Rhinolophus ferrumequinum: one gene and its partners. The protein of the gene in region 1 interacts with the protein of each later gene in a biochemical or structural test. Links are inferred from orthologs where the notes say so. Each region holds a gene or a part of one and is shown in the gene's direction. Other genes may lie near its edges. The genes, in order: ZFP36, MAPKAPK2 and YWHAB.

Region 1 (7,806 bases):
AGAAACACACTGTTCCTAAATTAAAAAAAAAAAAAAAAAAGCACTGACCATTATAATCTAGTCCTTGTCAATTTGGCACCCATGCTCATCCTCACCCATAGTTAATCTCCAAATAAATACAAAAACAAAGTCATTCCCACCTAACATGATGCAATTATCTGTGTACAACCAAAAAGGCACCTTCCCCAGCACAGCCCACCAGCTTCCAGCCTGAGGGTACATAGCAGTTGAGAAGTGTCAAGAAACTTACTAAGAAAATAATAAGGAAAACTACATTTACAGTATTTATTGAAAAAAAAAATCCACATGTAAGTGGACCTGCCCAGTTCAAAACCTAGTTGTTCAAGGGTCAACAGTATATCGGAAGTTCCAAGAAGAAAACTAAAGTAGAAAAGTGGGATCAGAAGTGGAGACTTTTAATAGAAAAAAATAACAAAGGTACTTAGGAATCTAACATGCAAGACTTGTGTGGAGAATTATGTTACTTTATTGAGAAAGTTAGAGCTTAGGTTGGGTAGTGGTTCATGGGTATTCATTATGGTCTGTAAATAGATGTTACATGTATTTGTTATTTGTTAAATATACCAAGATTTGTGGGTTTTTTTAACTTTTAAAATCCTTGACATGACATGAAGGCCTCGATGAGAAAGCAGACTTGGAGAGAGAATAATGTGGACATTGGGGAAAAGAGCGTTCCAGGACGGGAATGGCAAGTGCAAAGGCCCTGAGGCTGGAAAGTGACAGTGTGTTTATGGAATAACGTGGAGTCCTGGACCACAGTGAAGAGGCAGGGACAGATGTCCAGGCAGGTTATGGAGGCCCTTGGTTTAGATCTTCACTAGGTTATTTGACCCAGAGGGCAACGTACAGCCTGTTGCACGACCACACTCTCCAGGGAAGGGTGTACATGAGATGCACTGCCACACAGCAAACTGTTTTGGGGGACACAAGCACATACAAGACCCCACCCCAGCAGAGAATAGCATAACCCACCATCCTATTATCATGGTGTCCCCAGGCTCTCAGTCCCAGTGACAAACCCACATCAGACTAAAGGAACAATCCATGTGAATACACAAACAGCACTCTAACCACTACTTAACCTGCTATCTCTTACCCCATCGCAGACTTTGCCCATCACTGGCTGACTCAGCCATGCCCTCAGCTCAACATTATCAAAAGCAGCCTTGGCTGGGAGAGATAAGGTTTCCCAGGTGCCAGTATGTGCGCCTGTGTGTGTCTGCTCTGCCCATACAGGCTGGCAGAGACATGGAGTGGAGAGTGCGCCCACAACCTCCCCGTCATGCGCCAGCTGTAGACGTCAGGAACCAAAGTTCACCAGTTTCACTACCTTGTGACTGGGCCACAGAGGAACCACCAGATGCTGGCCTCGTATGTTCTCAGTGACACCCCCAAATAAGGACACAGACACATAAGAACACTATTCACTACACACATGAACTGCAGGGGCCTGTACACAGCCGCAACTGCCAATAGTCTCACAGATGCTTATACATACTCAACTTGGACGTGTGTATGCAGATCCTCATCGCAGCAGAGGGCAGTCAGTCATACCCTCACCAGGCTCTCACGGAGTTACACACACTTAGTCACTCCAGATCCCACAGTGGTTCAGAGGTACAAGAGACCTGCAGGTTGGGTTTGTAAGTCACACCAACACCACCTCAAAGACAAGGTTGAGTACACACTCCCACACCCAGAGATGGTTAAAGTAAAAACAGTATAAATCAGTCACAGGCCCAAGCGGTTTCACACAATTTATTCACAGCCATGTCAAGTGGGATTGAAAATACACAGCCCTCACACAGGGAAGTGGGCCCGCTCGTGTCCCACACCTATTGGTGCAATGGCATACCCAGGTACCCCAGGTCTTAACCCAGTCACGCCAGGGCACACACCTTCGCACCTGCAGCGCATACTTCACACAATATACGACACACATATACACACACAAACTCTCTCTCTCTCTCTCTCTCTCTCTCTCTCTCTCTCTCTCTCTCTCTCTCTCTCTCTCTCTCTCTCTCTCTCTCTCTCTCTCTCTCTCTCTCTCTCTCTCTCTTTCTCAGGCCCACGCAGTTGCACAAAGCCGGCCGCACCCGCTCACGCCCAATCACACCAGGCGCACACTCGGCCTGGGCACACGTGCCGCCGCGAGTACACGGCCCCCGCTCGCCCGCGCACTAGCCCCGGCTCTCACACCCCCGCATTTCCCGTCCCCGCTTGTTTTTCTGGAAACTGCGCTCCGTTCCCCTCCCCCTAGGCCGGAAGTGCTCGTTGTATTTTTAGCTTCTCTGGTTTCCGCCCCTTTCCCCCAGCTCCTGCCCGCCCAGGAGTTGCCCCCTGCACCCCGCCGGGGACCCCGGCCATCCCCTTCCCCACCGTCATTCCAGAGGGGATTCCCGGCCGCCGCTGGGGCCACGGATTTTCCCGCCGGCTACGTGGGGCGTGGGGAGGAGTCCTGCCCTGAATTTCCTCCTGGGCTGGGACGTCTGAGGCCAGGATAGGGTGGGAGGTGGGTGGAGAGCTGGCCTCCTAAATCGGAGGGAGGAGGGGCTGGGGGTTCGGACTTTAGGGTCTAACCTAGGAGGGACTGGAGGTCGGCTCTCCTGGGTCTAAGCCAGAGGTGGCTTGGAGACCTGGACCCCTAGATCTGAGCAAGGAGGGATCGAGGCCCGGTCTCCTGGGTCCCACCCGTCCGGGTTTCGGGGTCGGTCCTTTCCGGTGCAAAGCCCCCCCAACCCCCTTCCAGCCTCTTCAAGAGTCGCCCAATCCAAAGCGTCCAGGCTCTTGGGCCGATGACTCAGCAGATGGGAGAGGGGAGGGGGTCAGCCTGACTCAGGGATGGGAAATGTTCCCTGTCTCCAGGGAATCGAAACTGGAATCCCTCCTCCCAGATCGAGGCTGGCGCCAAGCCGGACTCCGGGGACCCCAGGTGCACCCCACCTCCCGTTTTCCTGCTGCCTTCGTCCTACTAGCGGCACAGGGATTTGGAGCCCAACCGGGAGACGGGTGCCAGGCACCCCGCCTTTCCCCCCTTTTCCCGTTGTCCTCGAGGCTCTGTTTACAGGCGACTGAAGCCCTGGTTACAGGAGAGGAACCCTGGCGTCCGGGCTGAGCCTCCTCGTCACGGCTTCCAGGAAGGCCCCCTCCCCCGCCCCTTGCGAGTGAGTCACGGGCGAGCGGGAGGCTGCAACCGTGCCAGAGCCGCCCGCAGCCACCCAGCTCACGGGACTGGTCGGGAAGGCCCCCTCAGCCCCAGAAGGCGCCGCACCAGGGATTTCCCCGAGCTCTGTCCGACAAGGCGGGTCGGTGTGCCTTGCCGAATCTCCCCACTTCAATCTGCAAGAATGAACTTGGCACTATTATAACAGCACTCCATGGCAATGGTTTCTGCTCCCATATTTTCACTCAGGGCAGCCAGCTCACCAAGACTCCCTTAAGAAACGAGTTTTCTTCCCAGATCTTGATGTTTTTACGAAGGGCAACCGCTTACCAATAAACGGCTTGCTTATGTGGGGAGTGATCCCCGTAAGTTTAGAATTCCCTCAAGGTACACCCCTTTATGATACCCATTGGGCTATCAATTGGGGATGACCCATTACTTCCATATCAAAACAGCTTTCCATCAAGGTAACCCGCCACCACAATGAAAGATCTTGCCCTTTCCGATCTTGAGTTCTCCGAGAAGGCAAATGCAACATAATTTAAAGCCCTGGTGTTGGGCTGCTGCCACTTATTGAATGAGAATAGGAGAGTAACTTGACCTCTATGCCTGGGTTTCCTCGTGTATAAAATGGTCACAGTAACCCCTCCTTGAGTTAATGTATGTATGTAAAACACTTTCATACAACAGTGCCTAGCCTAGAGGAAGCGATCAGAAGTGCCACTATCTGTGGGAGGGCGAGAGGCTACAGTGGCTCTGGAATTGGGAAAGGAGGCCCCTTTCCAGCCTCGCCAAATATCCAGGACCCCACCCCTGGAGAGTGGGGGCGGGGAGGGCGGTCAAGGTCTCCGGATCTGGGATGTTTGAGCGAGACGAAGCCAGGCCGGCAGGTCTCGGGAGAGAATTCCCTGCCAAGCCTGTTGGTTGCCTTTCTCTGTTTTGCTCCTGCGGATTTCTGTCTAAGGGTGTTTGTTTCTATTTTTTCAACCTCTTTTTCTGTTTCTTTATGTGACCCTCCCTCTCACTTCTCTGAATTTGTTTCTGGGACTGTCTCTGTCATGTCTTTTCTGTCTGTCTCCCCACCTCCTCTCCTCTCCTTACCCAGTCTCTCTTCTCTTCCCTCTCTCTCTCCTTCCCTGTGTATGTCTCTCCCTCACTCTGCTGTGTCTCTTGTGTTTTTCTGTTTGCCTCTCTCCATTTCTCCGTCTCTGGCTCTCCGCGCCTCTCCCCGCCCCCGTCCGTCTGTCTCTCACACGCACTCCCACTGCCTCGGCCTCTGCCCTTGTCAGTTCTCCTAGGAACCCTGCCCCCACCTCGGTCCCAGTTCCTATATCGCGCCTCAGTCTCCAGCCTTGAAAACTGGGTGGATACCCGCACCCCACAAACTCCCCACCGGGTCGCGGCCGCCTGCGGGCCCAGCTCGTGCGCATCCGGGCTGGGAGCCAGGCGGAACCGGGACCAGTCCCGGGTCGGCGGGCTGCGCTGGGGGCGCGCGTCCGGGAAGCGCCCCATCGTGACCCCGCCCACCAGGCCCGCCCCCTCATGGCCCCGCCTCCACTTATCTCATAAAAGCACCGGCTCCTACACCGGGCGGTAGTCTCACTCCAGCGCTCTCCTACTTTCGGCCGGGTTCACCGTTGATCGGCTCTCCGCGCCGCCATGGATCTCACCGCCATCTACGAGGTGAGTCTCCGCCGATCGGTACCCTGGGGTCCCAATGCCTGACTTCCTTCTCAAACTAGGGCTCTCTACCGCCGCAAACTCCAGCCCGGGATCCCTGGCTCTCTTCTCTAAGTGGAACTCCTTAGCGCCGTACTCTCCGGCCGGGCTCTTGCCTTCCTTCTCAGACTAATGTGATTCCTTGGAGGTGAAAAATGGAGCCCGCGACTTTAGGGTCTCTGCCCAAACATGGGTGGGGTGACCCTTGGAGATGGAAAGCGGGAGGAGTTTTCTCAGACTAGGGCTGTGTGGAGGCGGAAATGGCCCCACACCTGGCTTCCCCCCAGTAGTTGCTGAGGGCGCGGTTTTGCGCGGAGGCGTTTCTGGGGCTGGAGTCTCGGGGTGATGGGAAACCGACTTCTGTCTCCACTCCCTGACCCAGAGGAGTTCTCTGGGACTCAAAACCTAAAAGATCCAACTGCTAGGTTAACTTTGCCGGCTCCTCCAGTTGTGAAACCAGAGAACACAAGGAGTGGGGGTCAAATCCCAAGAGGCCCGAAGGCTCAAAATTGGAGGGCATTGGTGTGCCCCTGAGTTTGGGGGCCTCTCCATCCAGCCGGGGGACCCAGGATTCCTGGGTCCTTCGAGATAGGCTTCATTCGCTAATAAACTCAACCTCCAATTCGGGGTCCCTCCGATCCGGAACCTATGAGTTTCTGCGGGCGGGTGGGGCTAAGGCTAGGAGCCCACAAACCGGACTGGCAAGCTCCTAGGTGCCCTGAAGCTGAGGAGAGGCGTCACCCTGCATTTTCGGTGTCTTAACCGATCCCTGTTCCCACAGAGCCTCCTGTCGCTGAGCCCTGACCTGCCATCCGACCATGGAGACACTGAATCCAGCCCAGGCTGGGCCTCCTCAGGACTCTGGAGCTTCAGCTCATCTGATTCCAACCCATCTGGGGTTGTTGCCCGCCTGCCTGGCCGCTCCACCAGCCTGGTGGAGGGTCGGAGCTGTGGCTGGGTGCCCCCACCCCCAGGCTTCGCACCCCTGCCTCCCCGCCCAGGCCCTGAGCTGTCGCCCTCACCCACCTCACCTACTGCGACCCCCACCACCTCATCCCGATACAAGACTGAGCTTTGTCGGACCTTCTCAGAGAGTGGACGCTGCCGCTACGGGGCTAAGTGCCAGTTTGCCCATGGCCTGGGTGAGCTGCGCCAGGCCAGTCGCCACCCCAAGTACAAGACGGAACTCTGCCACAAGTTCTACCTCCAGGGCCGCTGCCCCTATGGCTCGCGTTGCCACTTCATTCACAACCCCAGCGAGGACCTGGCTGCCCCTGGCCACCCCCATGTCCTGCGCCAGAGCATCAGCTTCTCAGGCCTGCCCTCAGGCCGCCGAGCCTCGCCACCACCGGCAGGCCTAGCAGGCCCTTCCCTGTCCTCATGCTCCTTCTCGCCCTCCAGCTCCCCACCACCACCACCTGGGGATTTTCCACTTTCACCCTCTGCCTTCTCTGCTGCCCCTGGGACCCCTGTGGCCCGAAGGGACCCTACCCCAGCCTGTTGTCCCTCCTGCCGAAGGGCCACACCCAGCAGCGTCTGGGGACCCGTGGGTGGCCTGGCTCGGAGCCCCTCTGCACACTCCCTGGGATCTGACCCTGATGAATATGCCAGTAGCGGCAGCAGCCTGGGAGGGTCCGACTCACCAGTCTTTGAGGCTGGGGTTTTTGGGCCACCCCAGCCACCTGCAGCCTCTCGGCGACTCCCCATCTTCAATCGCATCTCCGTGTCTGAGTGACAAGTGCCTGCCCAGTACAGATCAGCTGGATCTTAAGGGGGGCCATTTCTCTTGTACTGTGGGGAACTCTTATAATCAAGTAGCCCCCGTCTTCCAAAATGCATTAACCCACTCCACTGACCCCATACTGGGGCAGGTCCCCAGTGTGCAAGTTCATGGTGTTGGGGGAAGGAGTGTATTCTGAAGTCTTTGTATTAAAAAAGATGTAGCAAATTTAAGGGAGGCAGTGAGGCCTCTTCCCCCCACCCTCTCCCCTGCCCAATGCTGTGAATAAATAGGCCCCCACTGCCCCCTCCCAGTTTTTCCTAGACCCTGAGGTTCTGGTGTGACTGGAGCCTCCCCATGAGGGGCAATCCTGGTGCTCAAGTTTCCCTCCAAAAGCAAGTAGCCAAAACGTTGCCAACCCCCCTCCCCCAATCATTGGGCCCTTTATTTATGACGACTTTATTTATTCTAATAGATTTTATAGTATTTATATATATTGGGTCGTCTGCTTCCCTTGTATTTTTCTTCCTCCTTTTTGTAATATTGGAAACGATGGATAATTATTGTTGTAAGTGTACTATAATAATATATTAAGTAATATATATTGTTAAAAGTTTATTTTTCTGTGTTTTTTTGAATTTTTGAATAAAAGGCATCTATGTGTAAACTGGAATCCTGGCTTTCCTGCGATCTAGAGGCAGTGAGAGTGGGGAGGATGGTGTGCCCCTTTTTAGAAGCGGGTTGAGTCGATTCACACAGTTCCTTCAAACCTTCCCGGAGCCACAGCCACCAGCCGCGCTTACCTGGCAGGAAGTGACGTCACCTGACCTGGCCATTCACCTGAGGGGGCGGGGCCAGGTGAGGTCACCCGGTAGGAACCAGGAGAGCCAGTTCCCGGGGCGTCGGGGGCTCAGGCGCTCCCCTCTTGTCGGGCTCCTTGACCCAGCTCTCAGCTGGGCGCGGATGGGATGTTTCCATCCCCGCGGGGCTGAGGGAGGAGGGCGGGGCGGTGCGGGGAGGACGGAATGTGCCGGGGCGCGAGCCCAGGGCGGGCGGGGGCGGGGGGAGGGTCAGCCCGGAAGCCGGGGTGGCCTGGGGCCCACCACCCGGCCTTCCAGGACCTGAGGGGCTGGGGGATTCACACTCTCGCAGTCGTGGGGGAGGTAGCTCTAATTAAGTTTCA
Region 2 (7,233 bases), on another chromosome or scaffold:
CATTAAATTAGGGATGAAAGGCAATTCCCCATAGTCCATAGTCATTCGCCAGGGCTGTCCTGGGGGTGAGGGATGACCTTGACCTCACCCTCAGCTCCCACAGAGGACTCAGCAAGCGTTTCCTCCTGGGACTACAAGTCCTGCATCCGGGCTGCCTCAGCAAGCACTTCCCAGCCCACAGGGCCACAAGGACCTTAGCTTTCTCCGGCCTCTGCTGGTTGGGGAACCATCCACGTCTTCCCACCCCTCCACGGGGATCCAGCTCTCCGGCAGCTGCTCCTCCTGGTCTTCCTGTGACTGAGTGTTCATACGCACAAACTGCTCCACCGCCCTTTGGGGAGCTTTGGCCGACACCATACCCTGCTCGCTGCGCCATTTGTCGTGCGGGGAGTCTGGCAGGGTATCCTGCCGACTACGCCAAGTGTCGTGCGGGGCGGCCTGCGGGGTCTGTGGGGTCTCTGCTCCCGCTCCCCACACAAGAACGCAGGACATGGTGAGGCCAAAAAGGAACACCCACGGAGCCATAGGTAGGGGAGTCACACCACTATACTCTCACTGGCGGCTGGGTTGGAGACACAGGAACCAGGAGCAACACAATTCTCAACCCTCACTGTGCCGCTTGCAGACTCAGCCACCATCTTCTTGCTAGCTCCCCCTTTTTTTGCTAGCCTAGCCACGGCAGTTATATTCATGGCCAATGGCTCACTGGTTACAGCTGACGGCCAACTAGCCACAGCTGCTGGCCATTTGATCACAGTCAATGGCTATTTACTACCTGAGCCAGCACCTTTCTATGTGAGGCCGAGAGCCTGGAAACTGCTTTTTGGGGCTCTGTCCCCACAATGATCTTCATCTTTCATGAAGCAGACACCTATGCCTCTAATGTGTCCTTATGAAATAAAACTATATAAAAGGAAAGCAGGGGAATGGTGACCATTGGATTCAGGATAATGGTTATCTTTAGCTAGGGAAACAGGTGGGTTGTGGGGGAATGGAGGAAATACCTACTTAGATGTATGTTATTGTCAAAGTCCTAGTTTTAATTTTGGGTAGTGGATTCACAGGTGCCTATTGTATTATTAAAAATAACTAGTAACTAAATAAAAGCAGAGATACTTGGACAACGATGAAGGTGTGTCATGAATCAAGGATTAGAAATAATCCAATGTTATGTACTTGAGGTCTTTAAATTGTCTTTGTGTGTACAATATTGCATGACATATGCGTTTGCATGTCAGTATTTTCTATATGCATATATCTTTAACTTTTAAAGGGCTCCTGCACATCCAGAAAAACTGTTTAAGGAATTCATTGCAGATGGTTGCGAGTTTGGTGTTATATAAACAGGACTTCGGACTTCAGTATCCTAAGGGAAATATTTTATTTTATCATTACAATAGCTCTACAATGTAGGCAGGACAAATGTTATTATTACTATTTTACTGATGAGAAAAAGGGAACCGAGAGGGCAAGGGACTTTCATGAGGTTACGTAATTAGTACTGGAATGGAACTTAAGACTCTGCATCTCTTGCCTAATGCCTCTTCCTTTAGTCCATCTTATTCCCCAGTTATTATTTATGCATTATGCATTTATTCCATGTTACATGTCAATCACATTGCGCCTATGTGTTTGTTTGTGTTCATATATTTGTGTGTTTTCTGGGTGTTGTGTGCAGTTTTTGTAATCTCTATGCTCTATGTACAGGCCCTTAGAGTTCTTATGTGCCCCGCAGGCCTAATAGGCCCTTGTAACTCCGGGAGGAGTTCCCAGCTGGGGTTTCAGCTATCTTGCTATTCCTAGGTCACTGGGCTTCAGCACTTCCCCAGAGACCTATCTAGGTAAGCAGGCAGCTTTACTATCAGGGACCCATCCGCAGGCAGTGATCCACAGAGTTGAGGAGCAAGCCAGCAATGCCTCAATAATGATAATATTGACTATTTTATGATAATTTATAGTTTATGAAGAGTTCTTATGAACACCATCTCATTTAATTCTCAGCCCTGAAAGTAGACTTTATAATTGTTCTCATTTTCAGATACAAAGAGAGGATAAATGGCTCACTCAAGGTAACTCAACTTGAGGATAGACTTGAATTCAGGTCATTTGCCTCCAAATTCTGTATTCTTTCCATGGTGCCTGGCCACCTCTGAAAGGGCATAAAGAGCTTGTCATCTGTCTAGCCTTGTGGAGAGAAGCAGGTGACTGCCCAATGCCAAGCAGTAGGAAGCCCCTAGTGACCCTCTGCAGAGGAAAAAAGACCAATTCAGAGTCCTGAGCAGCCCCCGACTCTGGACCTGAGAAAGAGACTAAGTAGTTGGAGCTTTCGCCCCTAGGTAAGGACCCTTGGGCATCTCCCACGTGTGCCTCCCGCAATGCAATTCGCAATTCGATAGATCTAGTGAGGTAAAAGGTGTCTTCTAATCTCTGTGGCCTTAGGCAGTCTCTTTGTCTATGAAGAGTCAGGGTTTGGGGGAATTGTCTAACCACATCCACCCTTTAGCACAGGAGGAAGTTCGGGTTCCTGCTGCCAGAGGTGAATCCCTCCGCCTTCTGCTCCCGGACCTGTGTCTGTGCCACTCTTGTGATGCTGTCCGCCTTGTACCTGTGTGTCTTCTTCCCCACAGATTAACACAATTCACCACCGCAGGGCCAACCGAGCATGGCACCTTGGACTCAGTCAAGGTGTACACTAAATTAACTCTGCTTGAAAAGAACAAATATTTGTGTTAGGGGAACCATTTCTCTCCTTGGGCTGTGGAGTGAGCCTTGCAGGTCCAGGAAGGGACTGTGCTGGGAGGGTAACTCCTGCCTTCCACTGGACCCCTCCCTCCTTCCCTGCCTGGCCTCAGTCCCCAAGGGCCCCTGTCCTCGGGATGTTCACTTCTCTCCTTCTTCCCGAGCTGGGTCTCCCCGGACAAGGGGGCCTGTGGAGTGTCGGGGGATGGATTAGGGGGCCCGGGGAGCCACAGGTCGAGCCCCATTGTCTGATTTGGACTTATCAGCAATCGCCTGTCTGGTTCTTTTGTCTTATTGCTCAACTGTTCCACTAGTCAGAGCTGCAAGTTCAGCAGGGATGTATTTGATAGTCACCCCGAAGCCCCACAGAACGTGTATAGAGGTCTTCTGGCAGCTCATATTTAGAGCCTCCCTACCCGCCTCCCCTGATGTGGGCTGCGCTATAGGTCCAGCTCGATCCTCGCTTTCTTCCTCAGAGACGTGGGGCTAACACGGACTAGAACTCTGCTTCTTCAGAAATACCCACTTTTCATGACTGTAGATTCAGGGTCTAGGTTCTCCACATTGGAAATCAGAACCTATTCACCAGACCTTCCCGTTTGCCACATTGTCTTGTTAACGCGATCCACAAGCCATGAACAGGTATTGCTTGCTGTTCTTCCCGCAGAGAGACAGCCACGACGGCTTGCTCAGGGGCACACTGCCAGCCAGTTGCTAAAGGCTCCCGACTTCAGGAAGTCTCAAAGTCAATCCATCCTCTTCCCACCCTGTATCCTGTTTTTAAAAGCTATTTTACATGAAAATATACATATATGTTCAAAGGTATAATTACTAAATTCTTCATAGTTACATGTCTTTACTGAAAAACAATAAATTTATGAGAAAAGAAATGCAAAACGCAGAGGAAAATGTTCAACTTAAGAAAATATTTAATATTTGCCTCACATTTACTCCTAGGATGAACGGCCTCTGTGGCTTCAGCTCACCGCCGAGGTCTCATCCAGCCCGTACTTCCTTGTCATCCCTCTCCCTCAAAATACACTCCCTCTTCCAATTGGCTGCCGCTAAAAGCCACACAGTTGGGAAAAAAAGTGGATTTTCTATCTGAATTATGCAGCTACTTCCATACCCCTCCGCCTTCCCCTTGCGTGGCCCTCATTAAGAACTAGGATTTCACCGTCCCCACTTGTCCCCCAGCCCCGAGGCCCGCCCTCTACGCTCCGGATGTCTCGCGTCCTCCCCTTTAAGGCCAGCCCCTCCCCCACGCCCACACCTCCCCGGCCCGGCCCCGCCTCCCCAAGCCCTGCCCCCTCCGACCCTCCCCTTTAAGGACCGGCCCCGGACGCAGACGAGGCTGTGACGCGGCCGCCGGCCCCCGGGCTGGGTACTTTGTCGCGCGGCCGCTTCCCCCCGGGCTGGGCCCCTGCCGTCCCGCGTTCCTCCGAGCGTCAGGCCCCCGGGGGGGAGGGTGGGAGGGAGGGAACTGGGCTGGTGGGCGCCGGCGGCGCACAGCGGGACCCACGGAGCCCCGCGACCCGCCGAGCCTGGAGCCGGGCCGGGCCGGGGAAGCCGGCCCCAGCCCGGAGCAAACTTCGCCGCCGGGCGGGGGGTGGCGGGGACCCCGTCCGGAGCCCGAGGAGGGAGCGGCCGCGGGCCCTCCCGCCTCTCCTCCCGCGTCTCCCGGCACCATGCTGTCCAACTCCCAGGGCCAGACCCCGCCGGTGCTGTTCCCCAACCCGCCACCGCCGCCACAGCCCCCCGCCCCGGCCCAGCTGCCGCCGCAGATCCCGCAGCAGTTTCCCCAGTTCCACGTCAGGTCGAGCCTTCAGATCAAGAAGAACGCCATCATCGACGACTACAAGGTCACCACCCAGGTCCTGGGGCTGGGCATCAACGGGAAAGTTTTACAGATCTTCAACAAGAGGACCCAGGAGAAATTCGCCCTAAAAGTAGGTTTGGGGGCGGGGGAAAGGGAGGACCGGCAGAGGGGGCTCCGAGGGACGCCCCCCAGCGCCCTGGGGCCGCTGGAGCGCGGGGTGGCTTAGCGTGACCGCACCGACCCTTTGCTGGGACGGGGCGTCCGGGCCGCTGCGGGACCGTGGGTCCCGGCGCCGAGGGTGCCAAGTGCGCGGAGGGCGGGGGCAGCGGGAAGGTCAGGGCCCAGCTGACCACGCCGCCGAGACCGCGTTTCCGGTCACCTCCGGGTGTGAGTGGCGGGGGCTCGAGAGGACTCTTGAGGACTCTGCCATTTTGGGGTTTGAGCCGGATCCAGCCGAGTTGGAACGGTTGGCTTTGCGACCACTTCTGCTAATTTCACCGCGCCTCGAGGAAGTGATTTTCGGGGTTTGTGGTTCCCCATCCTCTCCTCCTCCTTCCTTTCTTTCTGCGGGCACAAAAGGCCCATTACTCATTGAGCTGGTTGGTCGGTTGGTTTTGAGAAGTCGGATCTCAAGAGTTTATTTAGGCTCGCTCCTTATTTGGGAGCCGGAGTGTGTGATTTCACTTCCCTGAGCCTCGCGAGTGCGGCGGTGCCGCCTAGCGTCGTGCGGGCCCCGGAGGTAGGTGCCCGGCTGGGGATTCCGCTCGGCCGCTGCCCCCGGGGGCAGGAGGGATTCTTTTGATCCTAGAGTAGGGACCCTCCTACCTTAAGTGCAGTGAGGCTCCGGGTGGGAGGCCAGCAGCCTCCCGCACGGCGTCCGCTGTGTCCATAGCTCCAGTGATCGTTGTAAACCCGGTCTGCAGACCACGCATGGCCCAGTACTGATTCCGCAGATCAGAGGTGGCCACTTGAGTCCTGGATGTGGACCGTTGTTGGACAGTGGGAAGGGAGCGTTATCCTTGAGTTGGGGAAACCCAACCTCTTTTTTCTTTTTCTTTTTGAGTGGGTCTGGTAGAGGGAGAACGGGGATTTCAGTGAGAATACCTACTCCAGAAGTTAAACAGAATAGACTTGGAGGTTGATGAGGTGCGTGGGTCCCCGTGCAATGGTAGCCAGTGTTCAGAGTCACTACAGACGTTTTTCCCCTCCCGAGGGTTTACAGATTAAACCACATCTCTAAAGGTGGTATGTCAGGCCTATTTCCCCTGAGGTGTCTTAATGATTGGAGGAGGAGAAAATTACTTCCTGTGTTATATTTCTTCCCCCTCAACCCGCAGGGCTAGCTGTATTTCAGCTATTAATACAAAACTGAGATATGTGTTATGGGTGAAACTGTTGAATATATAATTAGCTGTAATACAACTCTGGTAGGTACTTCAGGTTTATAGAGGGTAAGCATGTCCGATTTCCAGATTTAAGATCTCTAAAATTATTTTCTTGCTGCTTTCAACCTACCTTTTTTGGAGAGAGCTTTCAACTAGTTCCAACGCTCAGATTTTATTTGGTTTCTACTTTATGGTGTTACTATGGGGTTTTGGTTAGTGTTTAGTGTTAGACTGTTGGAGAAGGAATATATTAGTCTCTTGAACATTTTAATACTTTTTGTGCCTTAGACCACTTTTTCTGTACTTATAACTGGGGGCAGGGAGGGGAATAGTTGTTTGACCGTGGCTCTGACCTTGGGCAGTGGAGTTGAGGAAGTGACTGATGTTTCTTTCCAGGAGAATTTTCTGTCCCCTCTGAAATGCCATCTGCCTTCACCCATCAGCAGTTTGGGGACACTGGCTACTCATTTTCTTGGAGAGTTGGAATATTGTGTAAAGACTTCAGAACAAAAGCTCTCATCTTCTCCTTATTCTATTTCATAGCCACACAAAACCACCCTCTAAGATGCTTTTGTTTGGCAATACAGATTTCTGTTGTAATTAGTAGAAGAGAGATTTGGATATTACCGCCTTTTGAATAGTTCTGAAAGCGAAAATCCAGCAGTATTTTAAATAATGCTCATAGTTTATTCTTCTCCAGTTAGGAGTGGGTGAAGACTGAAGTCAGAATCTGTTTTGATAGGCAGCCTGCTCCCAGATCTTACAAGTTGACTCAACTGTTATATTATAGATTCCCCACACATCTTTGTATAAAAACTTAATAATAGAGGAAGAAAGAAGGGATGAGACATTCAGAGACTGACAGCAGTGTCAACAGCACTTCATATCCAAATATTGGCTAAGACATAATTACAGTTGTAGGGGGAATCTGGTTCAAAGAATCCTGTTCCAGGCATGCACCAAAGAGATTTATAGATCTTGGATCTTGATTAACTTAACCTTAGGTGTTGATTAGTGAAGTGATTTTCAAAACCAGTAGTGTTTTGATTATAAAGCAAGGGAGGAAGATGGGTGGGGGGCAGGAGGGGTTACCCCATCTGGAAACCGCCTGAGGGAAAAGGGAGGAGAACTCTTACTGTACACAGTATGTCAGGTCATTCCTGGGGATTTGGGGCAGAGAGCAGAGCTGTAGGGCAGCAGCATGGCCTCTGCTGTGTCACAGCTCTGAGAGTTGATAGGCGGTGGTGACTGCCCAGCTGCCCTGCTCCCTATCTGTGGTCTGTGATCTTT
Region 3 (7,912 bases), on another chromosome or scaffold:
GAGATACAGCTGAAGCCAACCCATGACAAACATGTAAGAAATAAACCTTTGTTGTTGTAAGTCGCTGAGATTTTAAGAATGTTTGTTATCACAGCATAATCTAATGCTCCCTCCTATGTAATTGATACTTGGTTACTTTCTCGGGAGGAGAAACGGACTTGGTGCGGTGGTGATCACAGGGGACTTTAGTTTTTATCTTTAATAGTTTAGTTTTCTTACAATTAAAATATATTCATGCATCACCATGTAATGAAAATGCATTATTTAAAATGAATACAGCAGGCGTTTTCTTACTTAAATGCTAAAAAATATCATTCTTAAAATACACACACACAAACACCCAATAAATTCATGGTTCTTTTTGCCCAGCTGGCACTCTGAAGAAAGAGACTGGAGGTGAATAGCTGTGTGCACTTTCCAAAGCTAGAGGAAGTACTGGAGCATGACAACGCTTTGCCACTTTCTCTACAGGCAGAAATCTGCAAAGCCTAGACACACTGTGAAACTTATTTCTGGTTCAGCTATCATGAAACAGAAATACAGATTCATCTTTTGTTTTTACATTAATGATATCTACCTTTCAAATGACCTCATTTATATGAAAACAAAGGTGATTATGTAGCCAAAATTCAATTCAGTGAGTTTGGAGAATGCTGGTCTCCTTGACACAGCTTACCCTTGTCTGGCAAAGTTAGTGAGAACTATGGGAGCTCTTTTTCTGATACACCGATAGACCTTTCTGAGTCAGGATTTCAGCCTTTGTCCCATTAAAACGAAAAGCCAAAATTGGTGGGATGGATATCAAAAACCTCACGCAAGTTGACATGTCATAGGCTACCCTTCAATTTCAACTTCTTATTCAATCCAAACAGCAGCCCTCTTGTCTTTGAACTTTACTTTACTGAGCCAAAGGTCAGTGGCCAGATTCCCCGGTCCAGTGCCCAGTCCCCAGCTTTGTGTGATCAGGAAGTTATGATGCTGCAACAGGAGTAGCAGTAGTAACTCTGACCTCTCAATCACAGCTATGGTGACTTTGAAACAAAGTCCCACCTGATTTAGGCAATTCTAGCTCTTCTAATGAGTCTGCAAGCACCTAATTCCCTTTATTAAATCCTGTTCTGCTTAAAATACCTAGAGTGGTTTCTGCTTCTGTCTCCTGCACAGAACTCTGACTAAATACAAGTTGGATGATAACGTTCAGAAAGTAAACCCAAACACAAAAAGATAAAATAATAAGAGAGAGGAAGGAAAAAACAGTATAATTCGAAAATCATTCCAAGAGCTCAGATATCTGAATAATTGGGGTTCCAGAAAGCGAAGACAAAGAAAATAGAGAGGTGGAGGAAGGAAATCTTCATGGAAATAAGCCACAAAAATATCCCAGAACTGAAAGAAATAGGTTTTCAGATTAAAAGAGCCTGTTAGTGACAATTAGATATTATATGCCTCCTGGTATGAAGCAATAGGAAACATAGTCCCACCTGTAAAATTTTCTTGCCGAAAATTGAGCCAAAATCCAATCAAGTCTTTAGATATAACTGCCAGTTTATAGGACATTCAAGGGATAGGGTCACATTTTTAAAACTCTGCAAGAAACCAAATAGCCAAATTCAGACTGTGATAAGATAATTTACCCAGTTTCTTCAACAAATCAATCATATAAAGAAAAAAGGAGGAAGCGTTAACTGTGATGGATTAAAAGACACTTAAGAGATTTAGCAACTAAATGCAATGTGTAGAGCTTATTAGGATCCTGATTTAAATAAACCAATGTAAAAAGTAATTTTTAAGACAATTAGGGAAAATCAAACCTGGACCATGTATTATAAGAGAATAAGGAATTGTTAATTTCCTTAAGTGTGATCATGGAACTGTGGTTATTTTTTTTAAAAAAATTCTTACCTGTTAGAGCTACATATGGAACTAAGGTATTTACAATTCAATGATATAATGGTATTTACATTGAATGGTATTTACAAATTCAATGATATAATGTCTGGGATTTGCTGTGAAATACTCCTAAAAAAAAGGCAAAAGATAAATAGTAAAATAAAGCTGGGTGATGGGTACATGGAGTTCATTGTACTATTCTCTCTAATTTTGAGTTTGTTTGAAAATGGTCATAATAAAAAGCAAAAGAGAGGAAGAAAGAAGGGAAGAAGAAAGAAAGAAAGAGAGAGAGAGAGAGAAAGAAAGAAGGAGGAAGGGAAGGGAAGGGAGAGGAGGAAGGAGGGAGGGAGGAAGGGGAGAAAGAAGGACAAACTGTGGGACATTCATACAATGCCATAATATTCGGTGACAAAAAAAAACGAGCTCTTAAACAATACAGATATGGAGGAATCGTAAATCATATTGCTTTAACTCAGTCAAGGCTACATACTGTATGATTCCAACCATACAACATCTGGAAAAGGCAAAACAAAGACAGTGTAAATGAAAAGTCACTGCCAAGGGTTCGGGTGAGAGGGTGAGGTCTGAATAGTTGAAGCACACAAGATTTTTCGCACAGTGACTCTGTTCTATATGATACTGTAATGGTAGGTGCCTGACATGGTGCATTTGTCAAAATCCATAGACTAGAATGAACCCTACTGTAAACTATGGACTTTAATAATAATGTATTAATATTGGTTCATCCATTGTAACTCATGTACACTAATGTAAGGTGTTAATGGCAGGGGAGTCTGTGGGTGGGGACAGGTTGAGTCTATGGGAACTCTGTGCCATCGGATTAATTCTTCTGTAACCCTAAAACTGCTCTAAAAAAATAGTCTACTAAATTAACAAAAAATTCATTATGGAATCCAAAGCTCAACTATCACCTCTTTCAGGAAGTCCTGCCTGCTCCCCCACCACATTCCCAGGATGAGTTAGGTGCCCTTCTCCGGCTCCCATAATACCCTGGGCATATATATTCCTATGGCTGCATCTGCCACATTTGTATGTTAGTATCTCTTTGTGTCTCTGTCGGTTAATAGCTGTGGTTTGTTGACCAATGGCCTAGAATGCAGAAATGGTGAAAGCAGCTTATCCATGCAACCCGTTAGCAGGCACCCAGGGACGCCTGGCAAAGGGCACTTCTGTTCCCTCAGTACACTGCTGATGTCATCTGTGGTGTAACCATCATGAGCCCTGTGACCCACTAGGCTATTTTCTGGATGGGGGCATAAGGCACAGTCATGTTTCATGAAGGCTTATTTCAACCCGAGCAGTCTCTGGATTACTGACCTTTGGTTTGCCAAAGATAGATCCCCATGGGGAAGTTTTTGCACTGGGAAACTTTTCTGGGGTTCAAACCATCCTGTGGTTTTGATGTCACATTCGTGCTGTTTACATTACACAATGTTCAAGCTTGCTCAAGTTAAAAGGTGGTATAGCACAGGAGTGACAGGCACAAACACCTATATGACAGACAAGAAGAATGAGGAAAGCAGACTTGGTCAGGAGGGGACCCTGGCACTTTGAAAAGTCCATGTCTGACCTAGAGTAGGCAGCCACACTCCTTGCCTTCAGCAAACTGTTCCCACACACAAATGTTGCTAGACAAGGCAGAGATGCACATTTTTGTTCACACAAAAATCTCTGTCTTTAAAAACTTGGCAACTAACACACAAATGATTTAGAAATACTGGACGTTATCTTGGGAGGAGAAGGAATCATCCAATTGAATTGGGGTTTTATGATGGGGGAGAAAGAGCAGGAAAAGGGTACAGGGTAAGGGCAATCTCTGGAGAACCTTGATTGTCGCACTCAAGGGGCCTACCAATTGTCTTCTAGGTCTGTCTGACTAATCACCAAAGGATTTAAGCAAGAAAGGAACAGGATTAGAATGGCATTTTAAAAAGATCACTTTGGCAGTTGATGGAGGCAGGGCTCAGAGTAAGGTGATGAGCTAGAAGTCTATCATTAAGGTGAGTCAGGGTAAAGAAGAGGTGACAAAGGCGTCTTCACTTTGTTTTTTCTCCTACCAGATTGTAAATTCCAAGACAGCAGGGCCCCGCCTGTGGTGTTCTTGCTGTGTCTCCAACAATCAGCACACAGCCTGCTCAATAAATATTTATTGAAAGAATGAATGAAAGGGAGGGCGAGCAGGTGAGAGGCATTTTGAAGAACTGTGTTTAAGAGTCAACTGCCTTGGAAGAAACAGATCAATGTTGATAACGGTGAGTGCAGTCATGCGAGTGGGGGCTGTGGGGGCCTGTTTCCTTTCCTTAAATTTCCTCTAGGAGCTCGAAAGGGGGGTGTTCAATTACGAGATTATCAACACAGGCTTAAAAAAAGGGAAAAAGACCTTCGATCCTCATGGCCTCTTCAGTCCAAAAAAGAGGAAATGATTAGTACCTTGAAGGACTGAAGACAGGATTAAGCAAAAATTTAGGAATGAGCAATTTCTGTCCATCCCTAGATCCAGTATTTCCAAAGGACAGCGCAAAAGGGGACTGACCTCAACCTCTAACCCCATGGCGATTACTTCTAGGGTGGGGTGGGAACCGATGACCTCGGAATCTTTGGGCCTGGCCCTCTCGAGGTTTAGCCTAAACAGAGTGGGCCTCAGGCCCGCCCCACCCCAAACCTCGCCCAGTCTTCCTCGTTCCAGCACATCCCAGTTCTTGACCCTCCCCCCACCCGCCCCCTCTCCTCCTACCTCCTCTTTCCGCTCCCCCGCCCCCATTTCCGTCCCCCACCGCCCGCCTCCTCCTTGCTCGGGGCCCCGGCCCTCCGCCCTCCGGCGGCAGCCGCATCCAGGTCCCCTGCTCCGCTTCCTCCACCCTCTGTCAGCGCCCCTCTCACGCGGCCGGGGCAACCCCGTGCCCCGCTCGCCCAATGAGGAGAAGGCGCAGGGGCGGGGCGGAGCTCGGGACGGAGCGGAAGTGGTGACCGGAGCGGAAGTGGAGCTGCCGCCACCGCCGCCGCCGATTCCGGAGCCGGGGTGCCTGCTGCCGCCGCCACTGCAGCTGCCGCCGCCGCTGCCGCCGCTACCGCTGCCGCTTGAGGAGTGGGCCTGGGAAGAAAGCGGTCACCGCGCTCGGAGCTCCTCTCGCAAGCGTCTTTGCCCCCTGCAGCCCTCCCACGGTGAGTGCGGCGCGGGGTCCGCCCGTGGCCCCCGGGGGCTCAAGGCCAAAGCTCCCCCCCTCCCCGGCGGCGGCGACGACCACCAGGGCGACCCCGCGGGTGGGCTTCTAGGGTCGCGCGCACGGCCTTCTAGGCCCCGCGCGGCCGCCTGCGGCGCGGGCCTGGTCTCGCCGCGGCCCCTCCCTATTTCCGGGGCCGGGCCCTTCGCTCTCGGAGAGGCCCGGGCCGCCCTCGCCGCCTGCGGCCCTGCCCGGCGGGCGGGGTGCGGCTCCGTACCGGGCGGGAATGGGCTTCCAGCCGCGGACCTCAGGCCCTCCCTCACTGCCCAGTTTCGATCCCCGCGCGACCCCTCCCTGCTCCTCGGGCGCGGAGATCCGACCTTTTCAGCCCTGTCACCCCTGCTTATTACTTTCTGGCTTCCAGCAATTAAAATTGAACCAAAGGCCGACGAGTTCTCGAGGCCCACTGCTCCTGCTTCACTCTCCCTGGATGGGTAAGGGGTTTAACCTTGGGAGAGAGCAGAAAGCAAACCCCCTCCCACTTTGCAGTAAAGCCATTTATTTCATCATCGTTCGCTGGTTTTTGAGCCTGGCAGAATCCGAGGTTCCCTGGGAAGTCTAGGGTTGAGGTTTGAATCAAGAAAATGCATTTGTTGGAACCGGTTACTGAGTCAGGCCGGATCCCCAGGAGAAAAAATGTAAAAGGCTGAGTACCGAGTATCTTCCCACGGTATCTACCGTCATTAATGCCAGAGTCTTTTGTGTCCTCGCCCCAAATTCCCTCATGCTGTGTGTTAGTATGTTTTTAGGACTGAAATTTGCCCTGATGGCCTCTCTGGTGGTGGGGAAGAGTAGGAGTGATTTGGACCCCTTTTCTACCTAAGATGAGTACATCTTCGTCTATTGCAAATGGAGAACTCCGATGCAATGGGGTTTTCAAAGGTGGCAGTATTGGTAAGACAATTTGCCAACCTTTCTGTAAAAATCCATGTCTCTTGTCCTTGCTGTCACTGCTTTTCACTTTGGTAAGGCTAGATAGCAAGCATCAGGCTCTGGTTTGACTTGCTATGTGTGGGAGATGGAATTTGGAAAGATGATGTTATGAACACAGCAAATTAGGTGGCAGCAAGAGCCTGAACAGAAAGACGAAGCATTTGTGAGAATATAAAAATTGTCTGCATTTCTCATTGTCTTCAGTTGTTCATATGAAACCACACACATGCAGTTTATAGAACAGGACACATGGTCACGCAGCTTTTTGCATTTTCCCGTTAGAAATGTAAAAGTGTTATTTAGTTTGTAGTGATTTTTCTCCTTGAACACTTTCAGTGAACCCCATTTCTTATTTAGGAATTGTGTCTCACTTGCCTGAACCCTCATTTTTCTTGGCTCTATGTCCTTAGCAGCACACAAGATGGTGAGAGTAAAATCTGTCTGTTTCACTGGACTCAAATTAGAATTTTATGGGTAGTCTTCAAAATAGAAGGCTAATAATCCAGTAGCAAATGCTGAATTATTTTCCTGGCCCCTACTTTCCATGAGATAAGAAACCATTCACCCATCTTACAGATGGAGTCTTTGTGGGAAGTGAGGTGATTTGGCCTAGACCACACACACCTGGTTTTCAGACTGAATGTCTTCATTCATCAGTAGTAAATATTTATGGACTGTCAGTCCCTGGAGTATGGTATGGCTCCTACCCTATAATCTTCTGTGTGTTTCCCATGATGCAGTGCTTGTGTTATGTTGAAGCCATTTTAGAATTGGATCTCTTGATCAGGGAGGCAACCTCCAGAAAACCAGGCTGAGCAAATTCCCATGATGCTAGTTCCCAAGGCAGAATCTCCAGATTTTTGGGCCACTGCAAAAAGTGCGTTTTGCCCATTTGGCTGTGGATATACAAGCAGAAAGAGCACTAGACTTGGAGTCAGATCAATTTGATTCAGGTCTTGCCTGCAGCATTTTCTAGCTGTGTGATTTTGAGCATGCTGCCTAATCTCTGGTTCTTCTTTCTCTATCTATATTGTATGAAGCCTTTTTACAAACTGGAAATTGTTAAATATAAGCTTTTGATTTTGTTTTTTAATCACAGAGTTTACCATTAATGGCTTTGTTTTTTCCTCCAGTTGCATTCTGATGAGACCCAACTCCTCTGTGTACGCATGTTGCTTTTTTAAAAAATGACAGAGTATTATTATAGAACCGTATTTTGTGTATAGCATCTCTAGTCTTTCTGAGCCCATTTTCTCATGCAAATGGTAATGGCCTTTAATGAATTCTTGTGGGAAACTCAGTAATCAAATAAGGATATGGGCTGTGTACTAGGTGTTGTGTAAAGGTTATTTGACCATATAAATGGGTGTACATATACATGTATAGATAAGATATATGCATATATGCTATATAGTATGAACACATATAGAGTCTATCCATTTGTGATTTATTCGCCAACTGAGGAGGTTGCATCAAGCAATTAGTTTATAATACTAATAGCTACCACTTATGTTGCTCACTATGTGCCAAGCTGTGTTCTAAATACTTTACACATATTAATAACCCTTCATAACAAGCAATGATAGGTATGTACTGTTAGCCCCATTTTACAGATGAATAAACCAAAGCACAGAGAAGTTAAATAATTTTCTTAGGGATATACACACAGCAACGGTAAGTGCTGGAATCAGGAATCAAAAGCAGGCAGTCTGGCTCTAAAGATAGATTTCTACTCGTAGTAAAACAACATGTGTATATCTTTTGTGTGAAGATTTCATTTCATCCTTAATTTTTCTTTACATGTGTCTTTTTAAAATAAATGTGTTTGAACAGGAATTTTGGTTATT

What was found.
Region 2: of the proteins of ZFP36 (region 1) and MAPKAPK2, one has a biochemical effect on the other in vitro, tested with the Homo sapiens proteins (2 studies listed by BioGRID). The link is inferred for Rhinolophus ferrumequinum from reciprocal best matches to the Homo sapiens genes ZFP36 and MAPKAPK2.
Region 3: the proteins of ZFP36 (region 1) and YWHAB form a complex in vitro, tested with the Homo sapiens proteins (2 studies listed by BioGRID). The link is inferred for Rhinolophus ferrumequinum from reciprocal best matches to the Homo sapiens genes ZFP36 and YWHAB.

Annotation. Positions count from the first base shown.
Region 1 is NC_046298.1:38,567,907-38,575,712, forward strand, and holds ZFP36 (mRNA decay activator protein ZFP36), read left to right. Parts: upstream 1-4,743; 5' UTR 4,744-4,843; coding exon 4,844-4,867; intron 4,868-5,684; coding exon 5,685-6,638; 3' UTR 6,639-7,274; downstream 7,275-7,806. UniProt on the Homo sapiens protein: Zinc-finger RNA-binding protein that destabilizes several cytoplasmic AU-rich element (ARE)-containing mRNA transcripts by promoting their poly(A) tail removal or deadenylation, and hence provide a mechanism for attenuating protein synthesis.
Region 2 is NC_046305.1:24,722,101-24,729,333, reverse strand, and holds the start of MAPKAPK2 (MAP kinase-activated protein kinase 2), read left to right. Parts: upstream 1-4,427; coding exon 4,428-4,688; intron 4,689-7,233. Other genes in the region: proline-rich proteoglycan 2-like, read right to left, coding at 2,881-2,927, 4,057-4,429. UniProt on the Homo sapiens protein: Stress-activated serine/threonine-protein kinase involved in cytokine production, endocytosis, reorganization of the cytoskeleton, cell migration, cell cycle control, chromatin remodeling, DNA damage response and transcriptional regulation.
Region 3 is NC_046306.1:12,838,208-12,846,119, reverse strand, and holds the start of YWHAB (14-3-3 protein beta/alpha), read left to right. Parts: upstream 1-4,855; 5' UTR 4,856-5,073; intron 5,074-7,912. UniProt on the Homo sapiens protein: Adapter protein implicated in the regulation of a large spectrum of both general and specialized signaling pathways. Binds to a large number of partners, usually by recognition of a phosphoserine or phosphothreonine motif.